Linked DNA regions of Xenopus tropicalis. The protein of the gene in region 3 purifies or fractionates together with the protein of the main gene of each other region. This does not show direct contact. Links are inferred from orthologs where the notes say so. Each region holds a gene or a part of one and is shown on either strand. Other genes may lie near its edges.

Region 1 (6,257 bases), on a different chromosome or scaffold from region 3:
GTGATTCTTGCCTCAGGCGGCAGAGCCCATTTGTTTATCAGGGATTGAAAAAAGCTGCTCCTGGTAGCCATGTTTGCCCAAATTGAGAATTTTAAATTGGGATTTCGGCTCTACTAGTGAAGAGAGCACTATTGCATTCTTGCGTACTCTAGTCATGCAGCAGGGCGGGGGGCAAGAGGGACGACAATGGAAAGGGGCAGAGGGGCCCGGACTGGGTGCCACAGACAAACTTAAGGTACAGCTTTCTCCTGGTTATGTTGCCTCAGACACAGATTTGAACAAAGCCCATTTATAAAATACTCTCAAAATGATGCTGTTTCAATTGAAAAACTAATGTCAGTGTAGCTATTACTGTAGCAAATAGGAATTAAGTAGTTACGTTAACCTGTTGAATGGGAGCATATGTAAAGTAATTTTATGCCAAAAATCTGCATTAAAGAAAGCACATACAGTATTTATAGAGGTGCCCAGTAGTGTAACTATAGAAGAAGTTGGTCTGCTCTCTCTCTATAGCTTTAAGAAATCCCATCTCCTCAGCCGCTCTCTTACCTACCCAGCGTGAGTTGCTGGGAAATGGGGAACACAGTGGGGTGGGTGTTTAAAGGGAGGGCTGGGTAGGGGCGCACTGGGCACCTCCAAAGATGTTTTTGCGGGGGGCCTGACACAGTGTTATGCCACTGGAGGTACACAGAGGTTCCACTTTGGTGTAAATTCCATATGTAAAAGTTTTGGTGCATGTAGTTATAAATGTACATAAACTAGAATTAACTTTGCACAAAGCAATCAACAGTGTAAAAGCATAGCTTGTATTTCTGTGCCACTTATTGCTCCACTTTAAAATGATCCCTCTAAAATTCAGTCTGTTGGTGTTAAGGGAGAGAAGACCATTTGTCCTGATTTCCCAGGGTTCCTGGGGTCCAGACTGTAGATAAACGTACCAGGAACGCTTGTTGGTCGGCTGCCAGCCCAGTCCCCAATCCCCTGTGTAAATACCTTGAGTGATCCAGTCAAGATAAATTTTTCTCCTTGTGTGGCAAACTGGAGAGGTATCACATGATGCTTTTTCACTTAACTCTGGATCAGTTAGGCTGGTTTAATTTACACCAAAACGTGAAATGGATGCATGTCTTGAAACTGAAACTTGTATTTTTTAAAATCGTTTAAAAAAGTTGTTGTCATCAAGCTGCAACTCTAACAATCCATCAGGTTTGGGTGTTAGAAGGGGGTGCTTGGGAGATATAGTTTAACAGCATTCTTCTCCACTCGGATCATTTTCCCTAGTTTTACATTGCCCCTTTTCATCTAACTCTGACCCATAACGTAAGCTAATCTGATATAAGAGCAAAACATTGACAGTCTAAATATTACAGTTTTTTTTAACTATCTTTGCTTATATTAACTGATATTCACATATATTTTCTCTTCTTCTCCAGGTGCAAGGAGAAATTTACGTAATGATTTACTTGTAGCAGCTGATTCCATTACCAATACTATGTCTTCTCTGGTTAAAGAGCTGAAGTCAGGTGAGTGTCTAGCGCTAAACACAGTGAGGTCAGTATACACCCATATACAGCACTGCTCAACATGACCACAGTGAATAGAACTTGTGTTGAAAATGTGTTCTTTTGTTTTTTCCTGAACAACCTCTCCCCGCATTTCCGCCTCGCAATAGGTTAATTAAAAAGCGATATTAAGCTCTGCATAAACAAACCCATCCTTTACCCAAACTGATGCGAGGAGCAGCTCATTAACCAATTGGCTTATCTTTGGATTGGTAGCTGGTAGCCAGGAAGCTGGAAAGTGAAAGTTGGCTTCAAATTCAATCTTTGACATGTTTTGTGAAAGAAATATAAAAACCAAAGATATTTCTGTAATTAATATGAAATAGTGTGTTCAGCCGTCTTATTCATTGAGTTTATACTCAAAAAGATGATAGACTGACCCTTTAAGTGATGTTCTTCAAAGAAGGCTTCTATGAATAAGGTCACTTTGAAGGAGGCTTCAAAGAATTCACAGTAACAATAAAAAACAATAAAAAACACTGGCACTTCTGGCAAGTAACATGTCATGTAAACACAAGCTATTTCAGTTATTTACAGTTACAGTTATATCTAGATACTCTGAACTATCTGTCTGAACCACAGTTACCTGGTGATTAGCTCTGCAAAGTTTGGGGACCTTAGTATTAATATATAAAGAATGGCAGCAGTTTAAATTTAAACATATGAAGTCTATAGGTGAAATCTGATTGGCTGTTGGCCCCGCCCACTTTTCTAAACTTGGAACATAGTCACCCAGTGACAAACTGGGCAAAGTTTTGGGACCCTGACATTAAACACGTGAGAATGGCAGCAGTTAAAATTATCCCATTGAAAACAATGAAAGAAATGTGATTGGCTTTTGGCAGCCCCACCCACTTTTTCTAACATTGAGTATGTAGTCACCCAGTGACTGACTGTGCAAAGTTTGGGGATCCTGGCATCAAACCAGTAGACTTAAATAGGTGAAATCTGATTGGTTGTTGGTGGCTCCGCCCACTTTTCCATACTAAACCTTCGGTCCCCTAGTGACCAACTGTGAAAAGTTTGGGGACCCTGGTGTTAATTCTGTCAGAATGGCAGCAGGTTGAATATCCCCATTGAAAGTCAATAGGTAAAATCTGATTTGCTATTGGTGGCTCCGCCCGCTTTTTCTAACCTTGAACCACAGTTACCTGGTGCCTAACCCTGCAAAGTTTGGGGACCCTGGTGTTATTACTGTGAGAATGGCAGCACCCCTAAAACTGTAGGAGGAGTGGCGTTTAGAAAATGGGGGGCGCTAAGAATAAGAAGAAGAAAAAGAGGAAGAATCAGCTGAAGTTGGGGGTTTTCAGCCCAACATAATGATTCAGTTGGAATAAGCTTGCAGTTCTATTTTGTAATATAGCATGTGAAGGGAGCAGGTAGAGGCTTTTATAGACTGAATCATTTGATGAGCTTTCTGCTTCAGAGATATGGATACCCTTAACGTTTTAGTGATCAAAGTTGTGTCACTTGCAGACTCCCCAGGACACATACTGTAAATTAAACCAAATTCAAATTATTTTATGATTAGCAAAATAACTGAGAAGAGCATTCATGGTAAATATTGGCCTATTCAGGTAAAACAAATAGGTATATATTATAGCAGCCTTACTATAGCTACAATATGGGCTGTACATTAGCATGAACAAATTCTGACATTATTAAAGCCTTAACTTGCACTTCTGATTCATCCTGAATGAGGCTTGACATTTAGCATTTCCTTCTGCTTTACTGATTGCTGTTTGTACGTCACATACGGATAAATTAAGAACTTATCCTGCCAGGTGGGTGTTAACACAAGCTATTCAGCATCTAATGCTCTGTATGTGGGTGTTATTTTATCCAGAGAGCACTGAGTCGTTTATTAATACTAGTTATTTGCAAATACCTATGTTTACATTTGTCCAATAAGTCACAAGAAACTTTTGCACTTTATAAAGTGCAAAAGTCTCCTTTGGCATCACCTGTAAGTGTGGATCAGTGAATTTTCTGTATGTGGTTTGAGAGGGAAGGTAAACACCAGATAAACACCAGATATTTCTTTTGTAGATGTTGGAAATGAAACAGAGTGTGGTGTGGATACCGAATATGGCCGTGTTCATTTTGATGATTTGGTTCCTTCCCCAACCTCAGAGAAGGCATTCCTTGCCCAGATCCATGCACGAAAACCAGGGTTTAATCATCATTCTGCTGCTACTGGCAACATTCGCACTGACTTGTATGTATTTGTTTCAATGCATTACAACAATGACATGTTTCTTGCTAACAATACAGAGCCTTGGGCTTTCCTTTATGAAGACTGTAGAACATTCATAAGGGCAAAATTTGGAACTTTCCACAACCTAAAAAAAATGTTTTTATTAGAACTGCACTTGTGTCCTATGAGCTGCTGATGGTAAGAATACTGACCAGGAGTTCTCCACTAATTATCTACATCTAAAGACACCAGAGTTCCAACATCTCTAACCAAGAAAAATGCCTTGTTCCATGACAGGACCAAAATTCAATACTTGGTTTAATACTTGGACCTAAATGCAATACTTGGTTCAGTACATCTGGATTCCTATACACATGTATTCCATAAAAGGCAACGTTTGCCCAGTAGCAGTAATCCATGGCAACCAATAAGATGTTTGCTTTTAAATAGGTGACCAGAAAATTGTACTTGCTTATTGGTTACTATAGGTTACTGCCCCAGGGCAAACCTTTATTACAAAACCTCTTTTAGCTCTAAAAGTAGCCAAATGACAAGAGCAAATTCCCTTCTGTTTAAACTCAGTGAATACTGGGTGTCCTTTATATAAGCCCAGTTGTACTGCTTTATGTTCCAAAATCCCCATTTCAGAACAAGACTATTGTACCAACTGTGTGCCTATACACCATACATATGTAATTATGGAATCTATTATACCAATGTTTCTTAATCTTGGGGTTGTGACCAAAAATTGGTGTCTGTTCTGTCTATAGTGGGCCTTCGTTATACTTGTGATGAAGTATAATTTTTCCTACACTAAATAGTAATTAAAATGGTTGGATAATAAATTTTTATCTGATTCTTGGGAATACTTGGGATCTTCCTGACAATGGGTGTTTCCAGAATTCGGTATACTGTGTTGCCATGAATATGAATTTATTCTGGCTTATAAAGCATAAAGTACAAGGCACTTTTTCATTAGTACAGAGAAAAAGCAAATCACTTAAATAAAAGAATTGTTTTAGCACAGGTTAGATCAGTATTTAGCGGTCATTATCTTGCACTGAAGGTTGCACTCACAATATTTGTCTGTGATTCAGGAATATATGTCCTCTTAAAGTGAACATTATGTTGGACAGTGCAGCATTTCAAATCTGCTATGATCTTTTGCCAGTTTTGTTTTTGTTGTGTGAAGTCTAATGTATTATTTTAGCGCTTTGTGCCAGCAGTTCTTTTTAGTGTTTTTAGCAGCTGGAAACAATATACATTTTTACTTTAATCTCTGACAGTCAATAACATTTAATTTGAACAGTGCCGCTGTAATCATTTTATAAGATCATCTGTCTGCTTTTTAGGGGTACAGAGGGTTCCTACGGTCGGCATGATGATGAGACTTATGAGAATGACTCTGTGCGCCAGTTAGAACATGAGCTGAAGATGGAAGAGTATTTAAAGCAGAAGTTACAAGATGAAGCTTATCAGGTGATAATTCAAACACTTAGCACTTAGGAAGACATTTTTTTGAAAAGCAGAACAATGGCATATTTGAATAACATTCATTTTGAAGGAGCAAAATACATTGAGTTTCTAAGTTTGTATTTGTTCTGCCAAATCATATTTTTACTTATTCTTAATTCTATCTATAAAATCCTTATTTATTATAACTAACAGAAGCAAGAGTCTAAGTTAATACAGCTGGGATCATGCTGAACAATGTTAACAAATGAGTAGAATAATATGTATATTATTCTTAAAGCCCATACAAGCAGTGTCTGGACCTATTTGGCCCATCAGAACGTTAGATATTATTGGCCCGCTAGCCCAAATATTAGATGCAGAGAGAGATAAATGTAATATATTTTATTTGGCTTATGATAGAAATAGGAAAGGACTGATGTGTCCACTTGGAGAGCCTTTGGTACTTTGGCATGCCAGCCTGACCTTGCCAGCCCGACCTTGCAAAAAATTATCATTTTTAAGCTATGCAGCCATTTTGTATGAATTGTCCAAATGCATAGATGAACTGAATGAAGCTATGATGGTATTGTAGGGCACGCATATACACACATACATATCACTCCATGCATATCAACTGTTCATGTATAGTCATCATTTTCTAATATGATCTTTTTTTTAGCTCCATTAAATATCAAATGTATTTAATAGATTAAACTGGCACTTTATTACTGTGTTTTTCTTGTGCTGTAATCTTTCTTTTCTTTCATTTTTTTTAAATGTACGTCTTTTGAAATTTTAAAGAAAATTAAGGCAACTGTAAACATTAACAAATGCAATGACAATGTATATTTACAAGCGAATTAAATCCAAGTACAGACCTTAGGGTCTCTCCAAATTTAGCATCTAAACCCGCTGAACAATTTTGCCTTTAGTGGACATTGAAGCAGAGCAATTCCTGGGAACCTGGCTGCAGACTGTGGGGTGGGGCCCTGTTATTCTGTAATTGTTTTTAGGTCTCTTTATACTTTAATAGTAAATTACTA
Region 2 (6,257 bases), on a different chromosome or scaffold from region 3:
CAACCACCTTCTGACAATTGATATTAATGGTTAAGTACCCCCTGATGAATTGTTTCTTCACCCTTTGATGGCAAAGGAAAGGGAAATTCACTTGGGGTGCCAATGTGTTAGACATCCCCAATGAACGTTATCCTTAACTTCCACCATCTTGTGCAATGCTCCTCTGTGCTTTCCAGATAGCGTACATGTGCAGTAGAGTAAAATTTGTGACTTCAAAGTTTAAGCCTGGTCTTTACTGTACTGTGCAAGTGCGGTATTCGGATGAAAATCAGTGGGGCATTGGCAGCAGTGTGCAGCAGGAATACACCCAGGGCAATCTAAGGTAAGTGATGATATTTACTGGGATGTGTCTAACACATTGGCACCCTTTGAATTTCCCTTTTTCTTGTCCTTAAATACATAAATAAATAACTTCTGATTGCCAGTCACTTTCCTCCTTACATAATAGCAGTGGTTCCACAGGACTACTTGAAACTTTTAGATAATTAAAAATGTTGGAGTAGTTTCTGTTTTGTCCTGGCTAGACTCATCTTCTTAAAACTGTACCTAGTATGCACATATACAAAAAACAATTGTTTTACCTTGCAAATCCTGTGGATCTCTGTGATACTGCTCTTAAATAGGTTATTCTAAGAAGTAGTATTTCTAAGACAGTAGGGCTACATAGGGTACTGATTTCTGTACCTTGATTTTAGCTTTGATGTTTAAAAATGTTAATGTACAGGAATTCAAAGTATATCTGCAGATATGTGAATATGTAAATTGTGTGCAAATATGGCTGACTTTCATTATATAAATACCCTTGCAAATTATTTTGCTAGAATATCTATCAAACCTCTAGTGTCCTATGACTGCAGTCCATGCAGTTGTGTTCATACTGTTTTTTTCCTCAAAGTGGTGAGAATGTTGTTTTTGTGCATAGAGAGCATTGTGTGAGTTTTAAATATCAGATGCTCTTCCCCTCTACATTCAAATAGTCTGTTTAATTGCTGTTTTTTTTTTTGCCACTTTGCAGAACAGTGTACTTTCTACTGGCACTAATCGCAGTCGCAACTCGCCAATGCTGGACAGAGCCTCACTTGTGCCTGGATCTGTACAGAATGGAAAGGATAGGTAAGAAATTTGTCTTACCTTAATACTTTATATTATTCCATGTCTTTCTTCTTCTAGTAGTCTGGTATAACAAAGGTGTCAGATCTTTAGTCTAAGCTACTGATAGCTGTGTTAGGCTCACAATGGAACATACCTTCTGCAAAACGCTTCTATGCAATTCGCTACTTTTATCATTTATAAGCCTTCAATCACAATGAAACACATTTATATTTGCTACCATGAACACGCCAAGATTGTATCATCCCACAAGTGTCATGGAATATTATTAGCCCATGTTGTATCATCAGTGCATTCTCACCTTGTGATCTCTAGAAAATATATGTCCATAATACCTAGTCTTGTGTATCCCCCAGTGGAAGAAGTTCATTTTGTGTTGAAAGCCTTTTCATTACAGAAATCTCAGTGTCTCCCTTCCTCATTCTTTCCTAGTCTGTGTCTCCATTTTCTGTTTTGTTTCTCCATTTGAATATCACTCTCAGCTTCTCTACACCTGGGTCCCGTGCCTCCACCGCTTCTGCCCCAGCCACCTCTGCTCGGATCCGACAGCACCAGAAATCCATGTCCACTTCTGTGCACCCTTCCAAACCCGCTCCTTCCCTGGATGGAAACTGTGAAGTTCAAAGGCCAAGGCAAGTCTAAAAGGGACAAAAGAGCATAGATGAAGAACATAGATTATAACTTAACTTTTGCAGGCAGTGACTGGAGAATTTAGTGGCAAGTAATATATTCTGTATGACCGATGTAAATTTAGATTTATATTTATTACACATCATCATATTATTAACTGATATAATAATGTACAAATATGTATTTCCTTTCAAAGGGCATGACAACCCCCTTCTCCCCCCCCCCCCCAAAAAAAATGTTTGCCAATAAATTTACAAAAACATAATTCTAAACAACTTTCCCATATACATTTATTACAAATTTCAGTGGTTTAACAGTTATTTGTAAATGTAACAGCTATTACAATTACATTTGCTTAACTTCTGGTTATGACAATTTAAACAATGTTGCAAAAGTCAGTCTCCTCCAGCAAAGGTATGCCTTTTAATCAGCTGTCTTGTCTTACTGTTCCAAAGTCAGAGCCACCAGGGCAGAGAACAGAAAGGGACAGACAAACCACTGAAAATTTCTAATGAATTTATATTGCAAAGTTGCTCATGATAATTATTTTTTTTATTAGGTAAAATGTTACTTTTCTATTGACATGCCCTTCATTTTCAAGTATATGTTAGGGTTCACCAAACTATTTTTTTAACATTATTGTAGGTGTGAGCATATAGAACTCTTCATTCTACTTACTCACTGTACCAAGCATTTCAAAGTTCAGTATATAGAAAAAATATGGTTTTGTAAATCTATATATCTCAAGTACCGTAATAGTCAAAAGGGCCCTTTTAATTTTAGTGAGTGAATTTCTTCTCTAATTAAATTTCATCTCTAATTGGTTGCTGTGGGTTACTACGGGGGGCAGATTTGGGTGGTGTTTTTAAATAAACCACTCTGGGGATCCTTCGCCATCATTGGACATTTAAATCATAGGCAAGAGAGCCACTTGTCTTTGGCAATTGGCTCACACGTACAGTTAGAGGTCAAATGATGTGCAGTGAGGTGCAGGGGGTTGTTCAGATTTAAATTTGACATGAAGTCTAGGAAAGCAGAAGATAACACATATTTTGCTAGGTTAATGTTTAAGCAAGTCATTCCCCTTCCAAACAAGAAATCTACAGCTTTTGAATCAAAATGCTTTTTTTCTAGAATGATATATACAGTTCTCCTGAGATATACTGTGATCAGTTTATTGGCCTCCTATCTTACAAAAATGGTATTGTCACCACTTGGTTTTTAATCTGTAATAATTAAAAAGTACCTTGCAGTTAAAATTAACTAAACTACCATAATCAGTGTTAACTGCAAAACAGTCATATTGGTTTAAATTGTAATACAGGTATAGGACCCGTTATCCAGAATGCTCGGGACCAAGGGTATTCCAGATAAGGGGTCTTACCGTAATTTGGATCTCCATACCTTAAGTCTGCTAAAAAATCAATAAAATATTAATTAACCCCAATAGGATTGTTTTGGGATCAATTACAAAGTATTGTTTTATTACTACAGAGAAAAAGGAAACCAGTTTTAAAATTCTGAATTATTTGATTAAAATTGAGTCTATGGGAGATGAGCTTTCCGTAATTCGGAGCTTTCTGGATAATGGGTTTCCGGATAAGGGGTCTGATACCTGTACTTCCTTATACAGGGATATGCTTTCAGGTTAATGAAATAAAAAATCTAAAAAACTAAAAATAATGTCATGCCTGTATTATGAATAAAGTGTTGTTATAAGAAGGGTAACATTGATTGAACCTGTATAGTTTTTGCACATTTTCAAGAAAATATACCTCTCAGTAAGTAAGGTGGGTGCTGTAAAAAGGGTTCTCTGTAGGTGTTTTTGTTAAATTAAAGAACTAAAGCAATTAAGTAACAAAACATATTGTATATAGATACACCAAACACACTTTCAAAAGAATTCAGACCCTTTAAATCATACACATCATATGTGATATTTTAAAGCCCTACAGAAGACATTCTGGGAAGGTAACTCCGTATCGCTCCTCAAAGCACTTTTACTTTTTAAAAAAAATATATATATATTTTAATGTAAAGTCATACACTAAATCACAATTAATCAAATATGCAATTTGCATTAGTATTCACTCCTCCCACAGTAATATTTTGTATAGCCGCCTTTGCGTATGTACTGGCTTTGCACACTGGGAGTGAGTTTGGGCCATTCTCCCAGGCAGATTTGCTCCACGTTGTTAGGTTAGTCAGATGACATTTGTGCACCTCAAGTAGGCGTACCTTACTGCTGCGAGACGGCTTTTCATCAGCAGGGACTGAGCGTCCTGTTAAAATAGACAGAAGAATGGTTGGTGCACAGTACAGGTAATTGGTGCAAAATACAGGTAATTACTATAAGAGAACATGTTTCAGTCTGTTAAAGAAAAATGAGGCTTGAGGGAAAATTCATCTCTCAACAGAATAACTATCCCAAACAGAAGGCCAGGGTAACAACGTGAATGTCTACAATAGCCCAATCAAAGTGGTGATTTCAGTACAACTGAGAATCTGTTGCAATATTTGTTCACAAAAAATCATGTGGTTAGAATAAACATCCTGGAGCATATCTGCTAATAAAACAATGTCACATAAGAAAAAATATGTTTTAAGTTTCACTGCATTTAGTGTTGTACCTCAGTGTATAATTTCTTCAGAAGAATTTGTGTATAGCCAAAGTACCTTTGCAAAGTACCATGGTGTCTTTGTGTGTATAATATAATACACACACCTATGAGTGCAGTGCTTTTTCTTTTTATAGTTCTCTTTACCTGTACCCAGGACTGTTCAAACAAAAAATACCTGTCTCCTCAACTCAAGGATTTTGAAATGAAACACTTTTAACTATCCAGATTAGACCAGATTACCTGTAAAGGCTCATGGGACACAAGCAACTTGTACTACGTGTTTTTTTTTTTCTTTTGGTAGAAAGTCTGTGGAACAATTTATAATATAACTTCCCTATACATTATAATGAAACCCAGTCAGTTACTGAACTGTCAGTATTACTCTTTGCTTCAAAGCCACCATTACACCATTAATTGCCAGTTTATAAGCACTCCAGATGCTACTTATAGCTTCCAGTCAGTTTGTATAGAAGCTAAAATACAGTTAAAGCTGGCCATACACAGTGAAGTCTGCCACTTCGGCCACCTACATGTTGGGCTAAATCAAGCTGATCACTCAGTCACTTATCTCTTGAAAATCCAGCAATATGCATTTTGGAGCGACACAAGGATCAAAGAATCACAATGCTATTCATGCATTTTGTCACCTGTACTATAGGCGATCTTGGACAGAAGACAAATTGCCCAGGGTGCCATTACTCCTTTAAGGGGCTGCTGAATATTTCAGTAGATTTGATCTATTTTTCTAAAGGCTGCTTTATGGAGTGCAATATATCTATGTATATACATATAGTACTGCTGTGAAATTTAGTTCATTTATACTTTGGGAGGCATATGTTTATGTTTTATAGAATATATGTGTGGGACGTATTGTGATTTGTTATTTTTTTTTTATGTCCTCCACAGCACAGCCCCCCAGAGAGTGCCTGTAGCATCCCCCTCAGCTCACAACATAAGTAGTGCCGCAACAGAGCGGACCAACTTCCCTCGTGGTGTTTCCAGCCGCAGCACATTTCATGCTGGCCAGGTCCGCCAAGCTCGGGACCAACAGAACCTGGGATTTGGAAGCGTCTCACCTGCTTCTCCTTCTGGGAACAGCCAGGGGCGGAGGGGGGCTACTGGGAGCATATTTAGCAAATTCACATCCAAATTTGTGCGCAGGTAAGTGTGTGAAATCTTATTTACAATAAAAAAAGGATTGCAACAGGTTGGGGATTATGTATCATGTTACTTAAATGTTTTAAAGTTAGTATTTATTTTTTGTTCTGTAATTTTTGTGTGTTTATTTACATTGGGTCAGTTTTATGTTATTAATATGCAAAGCCAGTGCTTATTTATGTTGTTTGCTCCTGTACTTTCCACCAGTCATTAGCAAATGTTAATGTGGGGATTTGAACTCTGTCCAGCAGTGAAGGGGGTTAAATACAGGGCATGTATGTCATTTTAAGACATATTTTATTATTTTCTATTCCCCCTACTTACCTGTTTTTTTTTCTGTTTTCCTCCCATCCCTCTGTTTAGAAATCTGTCTTTCAGATTTCCAAGAAGGTAGGCATTGATTTCCCAACTATTCTTAAAACATATACGCCCTCCTTCCCATCTCTCTCTATCTCTCTCTCACCCTTTTGTTTCTCCCAGTTACTAACAGCTCCTGCCACATAATTTCCATGCTTTTCTCTGGGTTAATGTGTGTGTTTGTGGCTCAGTGCAGAGAACTGTGGCAGATAATGGTTTATTCACAAAATCTACAACATGCACTTTGTGCATTATGCTGTATAACACTCTGCCTCGTGTCTCTGACAGTCTCTTCTTGGGCATAGCAGTTTGTTTTTCAGTTTTCTGTACCTTTCCACTCTTTTGTGCTGTGATTGCTGAAGATTTTGTAGTTCTTTTTCA
Region 3 (6,981 bases):
AAAAACCAATAACTTTAGGAAAGCATTGCGACTTGATAGTTTGGAGTAGACAGACAGTTGTGCCTATTCTGTATTCCCCAGAATCTGTTCTTTCCAAAAATGTACAATTTTCTGGGATAAACCTTCTGTTAGTGGAATTTTGGCCTTGAAATCCAAAGTATGCAGTTTTTTTGGAGCAGTGCTTTGGGAATTTGGTAGTGTACTGCTGGGAGTTTTTGACCTATACAAGTGAGAAATCTCCATAAAACTATATATATTTGGTATTGGCACGTTCAGGAGACATGGGACTTTCCAAATCAGTTGTATATTCGTGCATAAAATAATTTTTGTTTCTAGTATGTGTGATTATATTATGGAAAATTTGATTTTTTTTGCATTTTTAGTCATTTAGAAGCCTATATCTTGTTACAGAATTGGAATTACACAAAAATTCTACCATATTTTGAAAGCTTAGGTTGTTCTGAAAAAAACGATATATTGTTTTCCTTGGTAAACTAAAAGTCCCCCCGAGGAAAGGCCCCTAAAGTGAAACAGTGCAAAATGTTCAAAAACTGTCTGGCAATACAAGTTCCGCTTTGACCAAAATGGCTGGCAGTAAAAGGGTTAAACCTTTTTCACATCTATAATAACATTGTCTTTGCATGCTATTTATAATTTTGCTATAAAAGTATTTGCCTGATGCTTTTACATTACCTATCTGATCCCCCATTTTCCTCTGAGGGGGCTGCCATATTTGTGTATCAGTAGTCTCTTAGCATTAGAAGCTATAACTGACAGGTTGAGAAGGGACAATCAGGTTGGCAAAACAGTGAGGTTTAGGAACAATTACTTACAGAAGCAAACTCAGTGAAAAATGATCAAAATAACCTATACTGTAGGTAACTTTTTATGTACATTAATATTTTGAAGAGTAGTTTTTTATTGTCAGTATCACTTTAAGAAGGATTTTGTGTCTCCTGTGCTTGCCTAGGACTCCATAGAACATTTGTGTTTTGATTTAATTTTTCAAATATACAACTTTCTCCATATACATGGTAGATTAACGACCATTATATGATGGTCGTTAATCTACCATTTACAGGGAGAAAGTTGTATATTACAGAGATAAGAAGACTGCGTTTAGGCCGCCACTGCCATTCTGCAGAGAATAGCAGTGGTCAAATGCTCCTGTCTGCCCCTCAGTTCTTAATTCTCAAGGATCAGGACAAGGTTTTGTAGCATCCAACAGAATCATGTGCTTCTGTATGTTGTTGCATGTACTGTAGTTGTATGTTGTTTTTGTGGCATGGACACTAATACCTTCAGCAAAGGAGTCTCATATAGTTAACTCCTAGGTATAGTGCCATTTACTCATTTACTGTGCCACAATTGAGGCTGATTCTTGTGGCTAGTGTCACAATCGGGTCAGCGCAGTGGCTTGCTCTGACAAGTGGCAACTTGGAGCAGTAATGTATTTTGTGAATAGTGATATTAGCAGTCAACAAGAAGTTCCATGACCATATACAGTAAAGGCATTAGGCATAGTGCTTATACAGGTTACAAAAGGGATACACTATTTATAATACACATTTTTCTTTTTTTTTTTTTAGTTGATTACTTGAAATCTCACTTTTTCCTTAATCTAAACTGAATTTAGTTTTAATTCCTAAATTTAGATTATAGAGAGTCATGCTTTAAAGTTCATTTTTAAATTCATTAACTGCCATTGCTACAGTAAATACTGTCAAACATAAATCTGTTTAGAAACCAGCTGCTTCCTCTTGTCAATTAGTTATTCTATGGAAGCATCAAATTTAAGGTGACCAAACCCTTTGGGACCATCACACGTGTTTATAAGATGCTTATTCCGCTGCATTCTTTAAACACACACTGCAACTCCAGTCCTGGTCACAGAAGATTTTGAGGGTGTTCTTGGCATTAATGATACAAATAAATATTTTTTCTGGAAAGCACTTGGAAAGGATATATATTAACACCAGACAGGACCAGGTACAAACCAGCAATGCCAAAGATAGGCATATTGCTAATAAGCTGAGGCATGTGGAGCCATTTTGCCAAAATATTGACAAACAACAGGAAACCTAGCTGATCTATTTTCCTGATAGGGTTCCAGCGCTAGTAAAATGCTGCCAGAGGTGAGTTACTTACCTTGCCTCATGGCAATAGAGCTCGCAAGGGGTGCATAAAAGAGAATACTAATGGCCTGAACACACTGATGAATTTGATCATGTTGTATTTGGTTTGAAGTGTGTAAATAAAATGTAATTGGTCAGAAAAGTACTCTTGCATGGACTGACCTGTTTTGATAGGGTAGCCACCTTTTTGTTAATGCCAAAACTATATTAGCAGAGAATAAATGTCTTGCATTGTAGGCTACACCAGTGTGTTTTTTTGTTTTTTTTTAAATCGGTGTTTGTCTGTGGGATATAATCATGTTTGCTTACCTGTGGATCAGTGCTCGGTAGAACCATCGGTACCATGGGCACCCAGCAGATCTGGCAGTGAACTGCAATATACATTTCCATATGTAAGGGCGCAGCTGTGATTGGCTACCCAAATGTAACTGTACATCTATGTGAATAAAATTAACACAAACTCATCACTAATTTTAACAGCTACAGGAATCAGAGGGGATAGGGTGTTCCAATAAAGATTCAGTATTTTAAATAAATGTCCTCTGTAGATGTGCTATTAAAATAAAAAAATATAGAATAAAAATGATATATAGTTAAATTTGATCATGGTTTACTGTTACTACAGAGCTATCCAGTTTTTCTTTTAACTACAGCTCCCATGATGCTCAGCCAACTAGAATGCTGCAGGTTAGGCATGAAGCACGTTTTAGGCCAAAACATATGAATAAACATGAATTCTCTTTTAGCATTGCTAGGAGGGTTCCAAACAATTTGCTTGGCAGACTTTGCTGCTAATGTTTCTAATTTATTTATCATACAGGACCAGATGAAGTTCTGGTTCCCACACAGGCTTGCCTGCCTCTGTTATGCTTTCTAACCCTCCGGGGAGTATTTTGTCTGTTAGTGTTTTCACATACTTTCTGCGTAATATAGGAAATCCAGTGAGTTCCACACACGCCCACAATGCATTTGCTTCTAGCTTAAAATCAGTATCCGTTTCCTCTGCTGCTGCTGCTGCTTGCAGTTACACTGACATGAGTGTGAAGGGGCTGCCTGCACAACCTGCATGGAAACATCCCCACTTTTCTCTCAAGGTATCATCAAACTTAAGGACACACTCTGTGACACCAGGTACAGATATTAATAATTCTGGGGGGATAGTCAGTGATGTAACTGCTGCCAGCCTGGAGTGGTTTTTAGGACTGCTTCACCAAACCGGCATCTTTACACCTGTTGCTTGGAAACACTATATATGCAACTGATTTCTGCTCCTGCATACTTTTATTCATTCTGCAGCAGTACAAGTGCTGCCTTTAATATAGTTTAGACTGATGTTAGATGGGCAGCATTCCATGAATTGATACATCCATATGTTAAGATAACTAAAGGGTAGTTCACCTTTAAACAAACTGTAACATCAACAAAAAATGAAAGTCAAGTCTATCAAAGTAATGTATTATTTACTATTGCCCTGCACCAGTAAAAAGTTGTGTGTTTGCTTCAGAAACACTACTATAATTTATAAACAAAACAGCTGTCTAGCCATGGGGGCAGCTTCTTAAATTGATAAAGGGAATTTATCTGTTATTTGCCATGTAACCTGTGCCTTTTTCCCTTTTTTGTAGCTTAAGGGCTCTGGCACATGGGGGAGATTAGTCGGCCGCGACAAAACTCCCTGTTCGCGGGCGACTAATCTCCCCGAGTTGCCATGACCTGCCATCCCGCCGGCTGGCACACGCGGCGGACGATTTCAGGAAATCGCCGAAAAAGACTCACGAGTCTTTTTCGGCGATTTGCGCAAAATCGCGCCGCCGCGTCTGCCATCCCGCCGGCGACTTACATGTTCGCCGGTGGGATGGCAGGGGTAGGCAACTCGGGGAGATTAGTCGCCCGCGAACAGGGAGTTTTGTCGCGGGCGACTAATCTCCCCCGTGTGCCAGAGCCCTAAATAGCTGCCCCTGTGATTACACAGAAGTTTACTTATATAAACTATAGTAAACACACAACCCTATAACAGTGCAGGGCAACAGTACATTATATTTTATTTATTATAAAAGATTTTTTTTGTTTTTCTCTTCCTTTAAGTTGCAGGATGTTTTACAGGATGTTCTAGCAAATCCCCTTTATTTTTAATAGTTTTTTAATTATTTGCCTTCCTTTTCTGTTACTTTTTACCCAAAAAACTAAATCACTTTGAGGAACTACAGTTTTATTGTTATTGCAATTTTTATTTCTTCTTATTCTCAGGTCCTCTCCTGTTTATATTTCAGTTTCATATTCAACCCACTGGTTAAACTATACCCTAGCAACCAGGTTGTTGCTAAAATTCTAAACTGGAGAGGTGCGTTAAAAAAACACACACACACACACACAAAATAAAGACCAACTGCAAACTGTGTGAATTTACCTGCCTACATCATACTAAAATATATTTTAAAGGCACATCTGGGAGAGACCTTTGTATGAGCTACTGATTATGGACATCAGGGCAAAGGACATTATACAGAACCTTTTAAAATACATATACTGGCCCATTTCAGTTGTTTCTATGCAGTCCGTTGTTGCTATGGAAAACTAGGGTACTCCCAAATGTGAGAAGCATAGAGGCTGAGCCCTGGAACTGCTGTTTCATTTTAACAATCATTAATTGATATTTCATTGGTACTTGTAGGAGCTGCCACACATGTGATCCTGACAATAACAAGATAGTAAATAATCACTTTTTTTAAATGTAACTTTTAAAATTAGTTATTTTTATTTTGCTTACTCTCATGTTCCCTAGGGGCAGCTCTATGATCAAGGTCCTGGGCTTCAAAGACTGTTAAAATGTAATACGTAGTTTGATATATTCTCATCCTTCCAGAGAAATGCCACCAATATTATACCACTATTATAGCAAATTGTCACTGTGTTAGTGTTTAGCTTGAAGTCGTTACTTAGTTTTCATTAAGTTTTCTGAAGGTGAATTGCACCTTTAACTTTCATAGCAAAATGACATTAATGTAAAACCTGTCTATTAATAGGATAGATTTTCCTTTCAATATTTTCATCTCCTTCTTTACATTCCACCTTGCAGTATAAATCTAGTCTAAGCTCCTGTGCCTGACAGAAGCACAATACTTCTTAGCTTGATGCCTTTCAGCAAGAGAGACCGAAGCTGCGCTGAAAGCTTTTGTTACATTAGAACAGTTGTACCGTAGACTGCATAGAGGAATGGCACACCTGTCGCCATATAATAACATTATATTATGCAATACAGCTTAAAGAAGAACAAGTAAATGAGCTATTTCAAGGTAAACTTATCTATAGAATATACTCAACAAATATGGAGCAGTTAAAAATCATGATAAATAGTGTGCTCAAATAGTCAGTGGGCTCTTGCCTACACTCCTAGGATGTCTAGAGTGTGGGCCTTTTCCTACTAGTTCACACTGTTCACTTCATGCACAGACCTGTAGAATGTATTCCTTACATAAATGTAAAGCTAAAAATAATCGTAATAACAAGCTCTCTCTGTTTAGATTATAGTTATGGTAAGTAAACAGTTGCAGGCACACTTGACTGACTTAGGACAATGTCACAATGTCACGCTGATGCATTTTATGCCATCCATTAATAGAAGAGTTGCACACAAAGAGTGTGGATGGCTGCTTGCAATACAGATCTCTGGAGCCAATATTGCTGAACATTCCTGGGATGTCTGTTGCGTAGGCTACACTACATCAGTGAAATAAACAATAAATATTTGGGTGCTAGTTTACTTGGGCATATATTGTGGGGAGGGTTGTGTCATGATACAAAGGATTATGTGTTTATTTTAGAAAACTACAAAATAAGGTAATGGAAACTTGGAAATAGACTGGTAAACTGAGAAATGGCCAAAATTTATATGGCACATGGGTAGCTCTGAAAGGTGAAATGCAGCAAATTGTGTCTGACCTGTGTTCTGCAGTTCAGTGAGGCACAGTGAGTCTATAGGGTAAATTGGGTTCTGTTAACTCATGCATTCCTGTCCAGTGGAATGTGATGTGTAAGAGCCCTTGGGAACCTCCAAAGAAAAACTAAAGCTATAATCTCTGTGGGGCACCAAATTATAATGCACCCCCCAGGGCTAATACCTCCTGTTAGCAGAAAACTGCAGTGGCCTAGGTATTTCTGGCTTCTCTTCTCCGGGTCTGTGCAGGCACATATGCAATACAGTGAAAATGTCAGCCTGTTGTGCCAAAGTTCAGCTTTCAGTCTACTAGGCATGCACCTGCCTGTTCCAAAGAGAAGGCAGAAGCAGCAGAAGATGTTGGAAAAATGTACCCTTGCTCCATGTGAAGGTGAATGTGCTGCAGTGTTGCATGGCCTGTCCACCTGACCTATGGCTGTCGAGGGTTATGGCCAAGAGACAAATTTGTCCCATGTTAATAAACAAGCCCCGATGACTATTCATGTGGATTTTCTTATATGGAATATGCCCTCAGGGTGCCTAACGTTTTGGCTTTTATGAGTGGAAGTTAGCAACCCCTGCTGTTGCTAATATGACCCCCCCCCCCCCCCGTGACTCCTGCCAGTGCATAACATCCACTGTTCAGTTTTTTTCCCAGGATTGTCACAGATCATGCTTGTTTGGCGAGGTCACCATATGAGTGGATTTTCCCCTGGCTAATATGAATTTCCTAGGTCAAAATGATTTAATTAAAATGACGATTATAGGGGCCTTCAGACTGAAGGCCACCTCAGTGAGCCGAAGTGGTCCCCAATCTGACACAAAAATCAAAGTGATCGACACCTGCCTGATTTTTGGCCAGATATTGCTCAGGAAGGCCCCATGCATGGGTAGATGAGCTGCCAAATGGGT
Region 4 (6,257 bases), on a different chromosome or scaffold from region 3:
AATCCCGGTGGGCCCCGGCTCTAGTGGCCCACCGGGGCCCACTAGAGCTGGGACCCACTAGAGCTGGGACCCACCGGGAATTTTCCCGGTGTCGATCCTGGCAGAAGCAAATGTTTGTACTGTTAATAAATGACACTAAAGGGGTTGTTTATCTTTGATGCAGAGAGTGCTGTTCTAAGACAATTTGCAGTTGGTCATCATTTCTTATTGTGTGTGGGTTTTGGAATTTCAGCAGCTATCTGGTTGCTCGGGTACAACCATAGAAACCAGGCAGTGGCTTGCAAGAGAGACTTAGAATATGAATAGACGAGGGCCTGAAAAGAAAAGAAATAAATTGTAGTCTCGCAGATCAATCGTTTTTTTTTGGCTGCCGGGGTCAGTGACCCCCACCATTTGAAAGCTGGAAAAAGTAAGAAGGTCATATACAAGTGTACAATTTATTTGTATTATGAATGAAAGTAAATGTTTAGCAGTATCTGTGTTGGGCCAGGCTTAGGGAAGTTCTACATGGGGAAAACCAAGGTGACCAAAAGCTCCTTCCCTTTACCGAGTGGGAAATGAGAATATTTCCAGACAATAAACCATAGGGTAGTGTATAGTTACAATGAGTTTCTATATGAAACATAATGGCAGACTATCAAATAGGGGGGATTCAGCACAAACATCCTATAACACGCAATGGGTCTGACAGATAGGATGCAATGGTGGTGCCCTTTCTGTGCCTACAGCAGTGATCCCCAACCAGTGGCAAAGGGGCAACATGTTGCTCACCAACCCCTTGGATGTTGCTCCCAGGGGCCTCAAAGCAGGGGCTTATTTTTGAATCTATGGCTTGGAGGCAAGTTGGCAACACTTGAAACCTGTTTTGTGTCCATGCCGACATTTTTAGCTCTTCGGTTCCAGTTGCAGCTCCATGTGCTTGGCCTGTTCTGATCGGTTCTGTTATCTCCCACTAATGGGCCCTGTGCTTTGCTCTAGGTACTTGGAGAGAATGAGAAGCACTGGAAAGCGGTCCTGATGGTCCTGACAGAGAAGGATCTGCTCATGTATGATTCCATGCCTCGCATGAAGGACGCCTGGCTCAATCCAGTACATGCCTACCCACTTATAGCCACAAGGTACTTCCATCTCTCATTTCTCTCTCATCTCACTAGTAGGTTGGAAAGCCAGTGCACTTTGACTATCTTTAAATGTTGCACTAATATTTAGCCTATGGTCCAGTTGGTTGGATAGTGGGTCTTGGCAAATATTTGTTCAAGAGGAACTCCACCCAAACACAACTTAAGCTTGTTGAAAAGTAAACATAATTTTAAGAAACTTTGCAATATACATCAATTAATAAATATGCAACATTGTCATGATGTTTAATGTAATAATATGGTTTGGAACAGTTCCCTAAGCCCCCTGTTCCCCTGCTGATCTGGCTGACTACTTTGTGATTTAAAAAAAAAATGTGACATGAGTGATGTCAACAAGGAAAGGAACATCACAGTGCAATGCATTGTGGGTTATGTAGTTCCTGCATATCGGCCCTTTAGACCGATTCTGCAGCTTTTCCGCCTATGTATGGGCACAAACGACGGCCTGCCCAACCAATATCTGCCCAGAAATCGGGCAGATCTCCATCAGGCAGGTTTGATTTTTCAGTCAGATTGGGGAACACATTGGCTCGTTGATGCGGTCCCCAAACTGACTGCGCCTATACCCACCATTCTGATTCGATTTTTGGCCCCAGGGCTGGATTTCAGCATATAAAATGGTATTTATTCAAACTTTTTGAAGGAACAGATTACATTAGGGGTCACTGAGTTGTGTGGGGGCTCTTTAACAAATTTTGGTTTGGAAGCCAGAGATGACTTTTAATTGAGGGTTAAAAATGGGGGTACCATCTGCCATCAACTCACCTCCTTATTTTTCCAATCTTTTGTACTGTAGATCTCATGTACTCAGGCTCTGCCACATGTCTCAGAATGACAGCTGTGACAGCTGCTTATTTTTCCTTTCATTGTGAAAACCAGCAGTCACACATGGGAGACATCTCTATGTGCCTTTAGGGTAATGGTCCAACTGCGTCAGCTGAGCAACGGTGTAGCTGTCACTTTAGTGCCCAAATTTGAGTTTAATAGAGCATTTTTCAGCTATTTGCAATATTTTTCTATTTAATCTCAATCTTAGCTTGGCTATTTTTTCTCTTGCTTCCCAGTAGAACTAGAGGCGATTCCTACACTAGGTTTCATCTGCGTATTTGTGTCTATGGAACTAAAATAAGAAGGACAATAATAAAGCACAAATGAGTGCAAGTGTGGGAGAATACTGGGCCAGCTTTACCCATCGATAACTTTTAAATCAGGCCACTCTGGGGACATGGCTAGGAACATTATAATAAAATATTCATTGCTTTCAGAATCAATAACTGATCCATATAATGTCCCTTTTCATTCTGTAATGTCCATTAACTAGGTTAGTGTTACTGGGATTAGAGAGATGATGATCAGAAGTGTTTTTATTCATTATTTATTGTTCTCCAAATTAATCAATGATCCAGTTAATGTCCCAGTCCTTTCTAATAATTATTAAAGGGACAGTGGCACCAAATAATGGAAATATCCTACTTGCCCTTAAATATAATATTCACCTTACCTGCATACTTTCTAGCAGTTCCAGCCTTGTCTCAGTATGCCATTGTTTCTATGGCAGGCTAACTACAAGATCCTTTTTCGCTAAATACTAGAGACCAGAAGAGGGTCTGGCCTTGCAGCCAATGGAGAATAGCATTGCATTGTGGGAGATTCAGCCAAACAGGGCATCAATGGGACAGTAAGACATATCAGCATAGTTATTCCCCTATAATAAGTACAATTCTGATGGTATAGTGGTCATTAAGGGGCTATTCAAAGTAACTGTAGCAAGGTAATAAATAAGTTCCATTGTTTTCTATGGGGCATGCCACACAGACTATGATTTGAACTGAAAACTTACCCTATGGGTTGCAATCGTCGTTACATAGGGTTTAAAAAAGTCCATCAAGTTCCACCCTTCCAAGTAAACCCAGCACACACAAACCTATTAGCTACATTTCTTATGTGAAATTGGCATTAAGGATAATGTAGGACTGTATGGGATGTTTTCTGCAGCTATGTGTCTACTATTGCTGTCTTTACTACAACACTATTACAGCTGTACTACCTTAAATGTTCCTTCTTTTCAGGCTGGTCCATTCCGGCCCTGGGAAAATATCTTCCCTTCCTGGCACAGAGTTCTCATTTGCTACCCGGACAGGGTCGAAGCAAGGGATTGAGACCCATTTCTTTAGAGCCGAGACCAACAGGGATCTCTCCCTCTGGACCAGGTCTATTGTACAGGGCTGCCACCACTCTGCCGAGCTTGTGAAAGAGATATCAACTCGTAAGTACCACCTTGGCACAACTCCACTCCCTGCTTGAATGAATTAAGCACATTCTAAGTGTGTTCTGATATAACCAGAATAGAAAGTGCTTGTTCTTGCAGGATATTTACCAAATTTAAATGATGCAAAGTCTAAATGATCCAAAGTGTAAAGCCAGAGTCTTGCACAGATCACAATTAGCGTGTAGCATTGCTGCCATGCAGTGCTGGGGTCCTGAGTTTGGCACCAGGGTTGGACTGAGCCGGTGGGGCACCAGGAGAAAACCCAACACTAAAATGTCTTGCCAAGCCAGGACCAATCCCTTTCTCCCACCCTGCTGGCCAGGGTCTGCAGGCCTCAACACACCGCTTACATGCCAACATGGGAGGAGAGAGGAGGTACATGGTGAGGCACAGGTTGGCCGACCATTCCTCCCCTGACGCGTTCAACCTCACGTCAGGTGGGGGACCCTGCAGGGCATTAGGGAGGCTCAAAAGGGAGCACCTGCTTTGAGGGTTAGGGGGTGTGGGGGACGCGGCCGGCGGGGGCACCTGCCCCGGTGGGCCCTGCACCCCTAGTACGACCCTGCTGAGGCAGGAATTTGCAACACAGGGCTGCTGCCTCCCTCCCTGCTGGCTAAGATCTGTGGTCTGGCCCCCCCCCCCCCGCTAGCTGAGATCTTCAGGCCCGGGAGGAGAGAGGAGGTATGTGGTGGGGAGAAATTGCAAAAGGGTAGTTCACACAGTTGGGGGAGTTTGTGAAGGGGGTAATAGTGGTGGGCCCTTAGGTGACAGCCCCGGTGGGCCCTGGAAACCACTGTTTGGAACTATCTGCTATAATGTTTGTGTGTCTGCATGCAGGGCTGCTCAAGGGGCCAGTGGGCTCAGGGCAAAGCTGTGAGAGACAGGCCCCCTCACCAGCCCCACAAAAATTTGTAATAGGGCTTACCTTGAGTAGAAGAACATGAATATAATGGACAAGAGAAGGAAATAGACTGTGCTTACTGAAGTAGGCATAAGGTTACAGTACCCCAGCCTAGAAAAATTGCAATCACTGATACCAGATTTTTATTACAAAGACCCCATAGTGGCATTTGTTCTATTAGGATGTTAAAGCAAACAAATATTCTACAATAGTTGTGTCCTAACTGATTAATATGGGGCGTCTGTGTTTTGTGGGAGATGCGTCAGACAGACGTTATAGAAGCTGGCAGGTGTGAATATGGGACCCCAGTCCAAGTGGGCCCTGGGCAAATGCCTCATTTATTAAAACAACCCTGTCTGCAAGGGTTTCTCCCAGGTAGCCTATATTCCTTCCATGCTCCAAAAACATACAGGAAAGTTAAATGTAATGGGGCCCATAGATTGTAGGCTCTACTAGGGCAGGGACTGATGTGAATAATGTATAATCTCTGTAAAGTGCTAAGTAAATGTGTCAGTGTTCTTTAAATTGAATTGAATACAGGTAAAAGCGCAGGAATGATTATGAAACTAGGAAAAGTGCCTATATATACTTTAGCAGTGTTTTAAACACTATGTATAGCTAGGCACAAGGCAGCAAGGCACAAAAAGCCTCTGTTTTCCCAGAATTTCAGTGCAACAGAACACAATATAGTGTACTATGATTTACTAATGTGGGATTGGGGTTACTTACTATACATTAATCAGTGTTTCATCAAAGATTGACTGTGTGTAGGCACAACAGGCAAAGGGAACTCTGAAATAGCAGCTCCTTAAGGCAGGCATTCATTCCAGGATTCCGCTTCGTTTAAAGGTGCACATTTTAACCCCATTTTAGCGCTTTGCACTTGTGTTTGTAAATGAGCATTAAAGTTTGATACACATACATGGTGCCATCCAGTGGTGAAGGTTTTGTATTGCAGTGTTTCATTATGGTTAGGAGACAACCATATCAGGGCACAGTTTTCAGCTTGCCCCATGGCAGAAAAGGCACGGGGAATATTTAGAAAGACTTAAAGTTAGTGTTACCCCAAGAAATAGAGCACCGTTTGGCGTCAAAGTGATCAGATATTGATAAACACTTTAAAAAAATGCTGACTTGAATGAAGATATCAGCAGATTAAAAGGCTAAGGAAATGGCAATTCTGCACCACCTTTCTAAATATCACGTCATTCTACATTCAGTGACAGCTTTCTCATTGGGCGAGGCCCCCCTGCCAACCTATAAGAGATTCATTCTGTCACATGGGCTTATTCATTGGCTTTTATGATTTCTGTTCCTTTCAGCTTGCACTTACAAGAATAATGAGTGTCGCTTGGTTATAAACTATGACCATGGATTCTTACTGACCTCCGAAGCCTTGGATGGTACCTATTCCCGACCCCTGCTACAGTTTCCCTATGAAAAACTGAAAATGTCATCTGACGATGGAGTTAAAATGCTCTATTTAGACTTTGGGGGCAAAGATGGAGAATTAGTAAGTACTGCGTTCCTTATATAATAATATCCTTGGCCTATCAGATAGTTTCCCTTCTGACCTCAAACCTGTTCTAAGTCTATACCCACAGTGTGGTTGACCTTCAAAGCAAATCCCACTATTTAGAGCCTTTGTGCATTTGCCACTAGGGCAATGGATGCCCCATGCACCTTGTAGCAGATTGAGCCAAATATGTGTACCCCTGTTGTTACGCTTTTGCAGGGGTGCATGTTGACAGTTCTAGAAGCTTTAAGCCAGGGATCCCCAACCTTTTTTACTGGTGAGCCACACAAGCATGGAAAAAGTTCTTTGGGGATGCAAATAAGGGCTGTGATTTGGTAGCCCCTTTTTGTAGCTTACAGGAGACTCTGCTTGGAGTAAAACTGTCTCTGTGCTTCCAAAACTTACCTCCAAGGCAGAAAATTAAAAATGGCA

What was found.
Region 1: the proteins of utrn (region 3) and dtna purify together in Homo sapiens (affinity purification with mass spectrometry; 3 studies listed by BioGRID and IntAct, with this or other methods). This does not show direct contact. The link is inferred for Xenopus tropicalis from reciprocal best matches to the Homo sapiens genes UTRN and DTNA.
Region 2: the proteins of utrn (region 3) and mark2 purify together in Homo sapiens (affinity purification with mass spectrometry; 4 studies listed by BioGRID and IntAct, with this or other methods). This does not show direct contact. The link is inferred for Xenopus tropicalis from reciprocal best matches to the Homo sapiens genes UTRN and MARK2.
Region 4: the proteins of utrn (region 3) and sntb1 purify together in Homo sapiens (affinity purification with mass spectrometry; 3 studies listed by BioGRID and IntAct, with this or other methods). This does not show direct contact. The link is inferred for Xenopus tropicalis from reciprocal best matches to the Homo sapiens genes UTRN and SNTB1.

What each region holds. Positions count from the first base shown.
Region 1 is NC_030682.2:112,829,304-112,835,560, forward strand, and holds part of dtna (dystrobrevin alpha), read left to right. Parts: intron 1-1,433; coding exon 1,434-1,523; intron 1,524-3,611; coding exon 3,612-3,780; intron 3,781-5,111; coding exon 5,112-5,238; intron 5,239-6,257. UniProt on the Homo sapiens protein: May be involved in the formation and stability of synapses as well as being involved in the clustering of nicotinic acetylcholine receptors.
Region 2 is NC_030680.2:36,149,991-36,156,247, reverse strand, and holds part of mark2 (serine/threonine-protein kinase MARK2), read left to right. Parts: intron 1-1,015; coding exon 1,016-1,113; intron 1,114-1,592; coding exon 1,593-1,742; intron 1,743-5,267; coding exon 5,268-5,522; intron 5,523-5,882; coding exon of another isoform or gene 5,883-5,909; intron 5,910-6,257. UniProt on the Homo sapiens protein: Serine/threonine-protein kinase. Involved in cell polarity and microtubule dynamics regulation. Phosphorylates CRTC2/TORC2, DCX, HDAC7, KIF13B, MAP2, MAP4 and RAB11FIP2. Phosphorylates the microtubule-associated protein MAPT/TAU.
Region 3 is NC_030681.2:45,398,918-45,405,898, forward strand, and holds the start of utrn (utrophin), read left to right. Parts: upstream 1-3,133; 5' UTR 3,134-3,169; coding exon 3,170-3,266; intron 3,267-6,981.
Region 4 is NC_030682.2:138,611,544-138,617,800, reverse strand, and holds part of sntb1 (beta-1-syntrophin), read left to right. Parts: intron 1-978; coding exon 979-1,118; intron 1,119-3,208; coding exon 3,209-3,405; intron 3,406-5,631; coding exon 5,632-5,822; intron 5,823-6,257. UniProt on the Homo sapiens protein: Adapter protein that binds to and probably organizes the subcellular localization of a variety of membrane proteins. May link various receptors to the actin cytoskeleton and the dystrophin glycoprotein complex.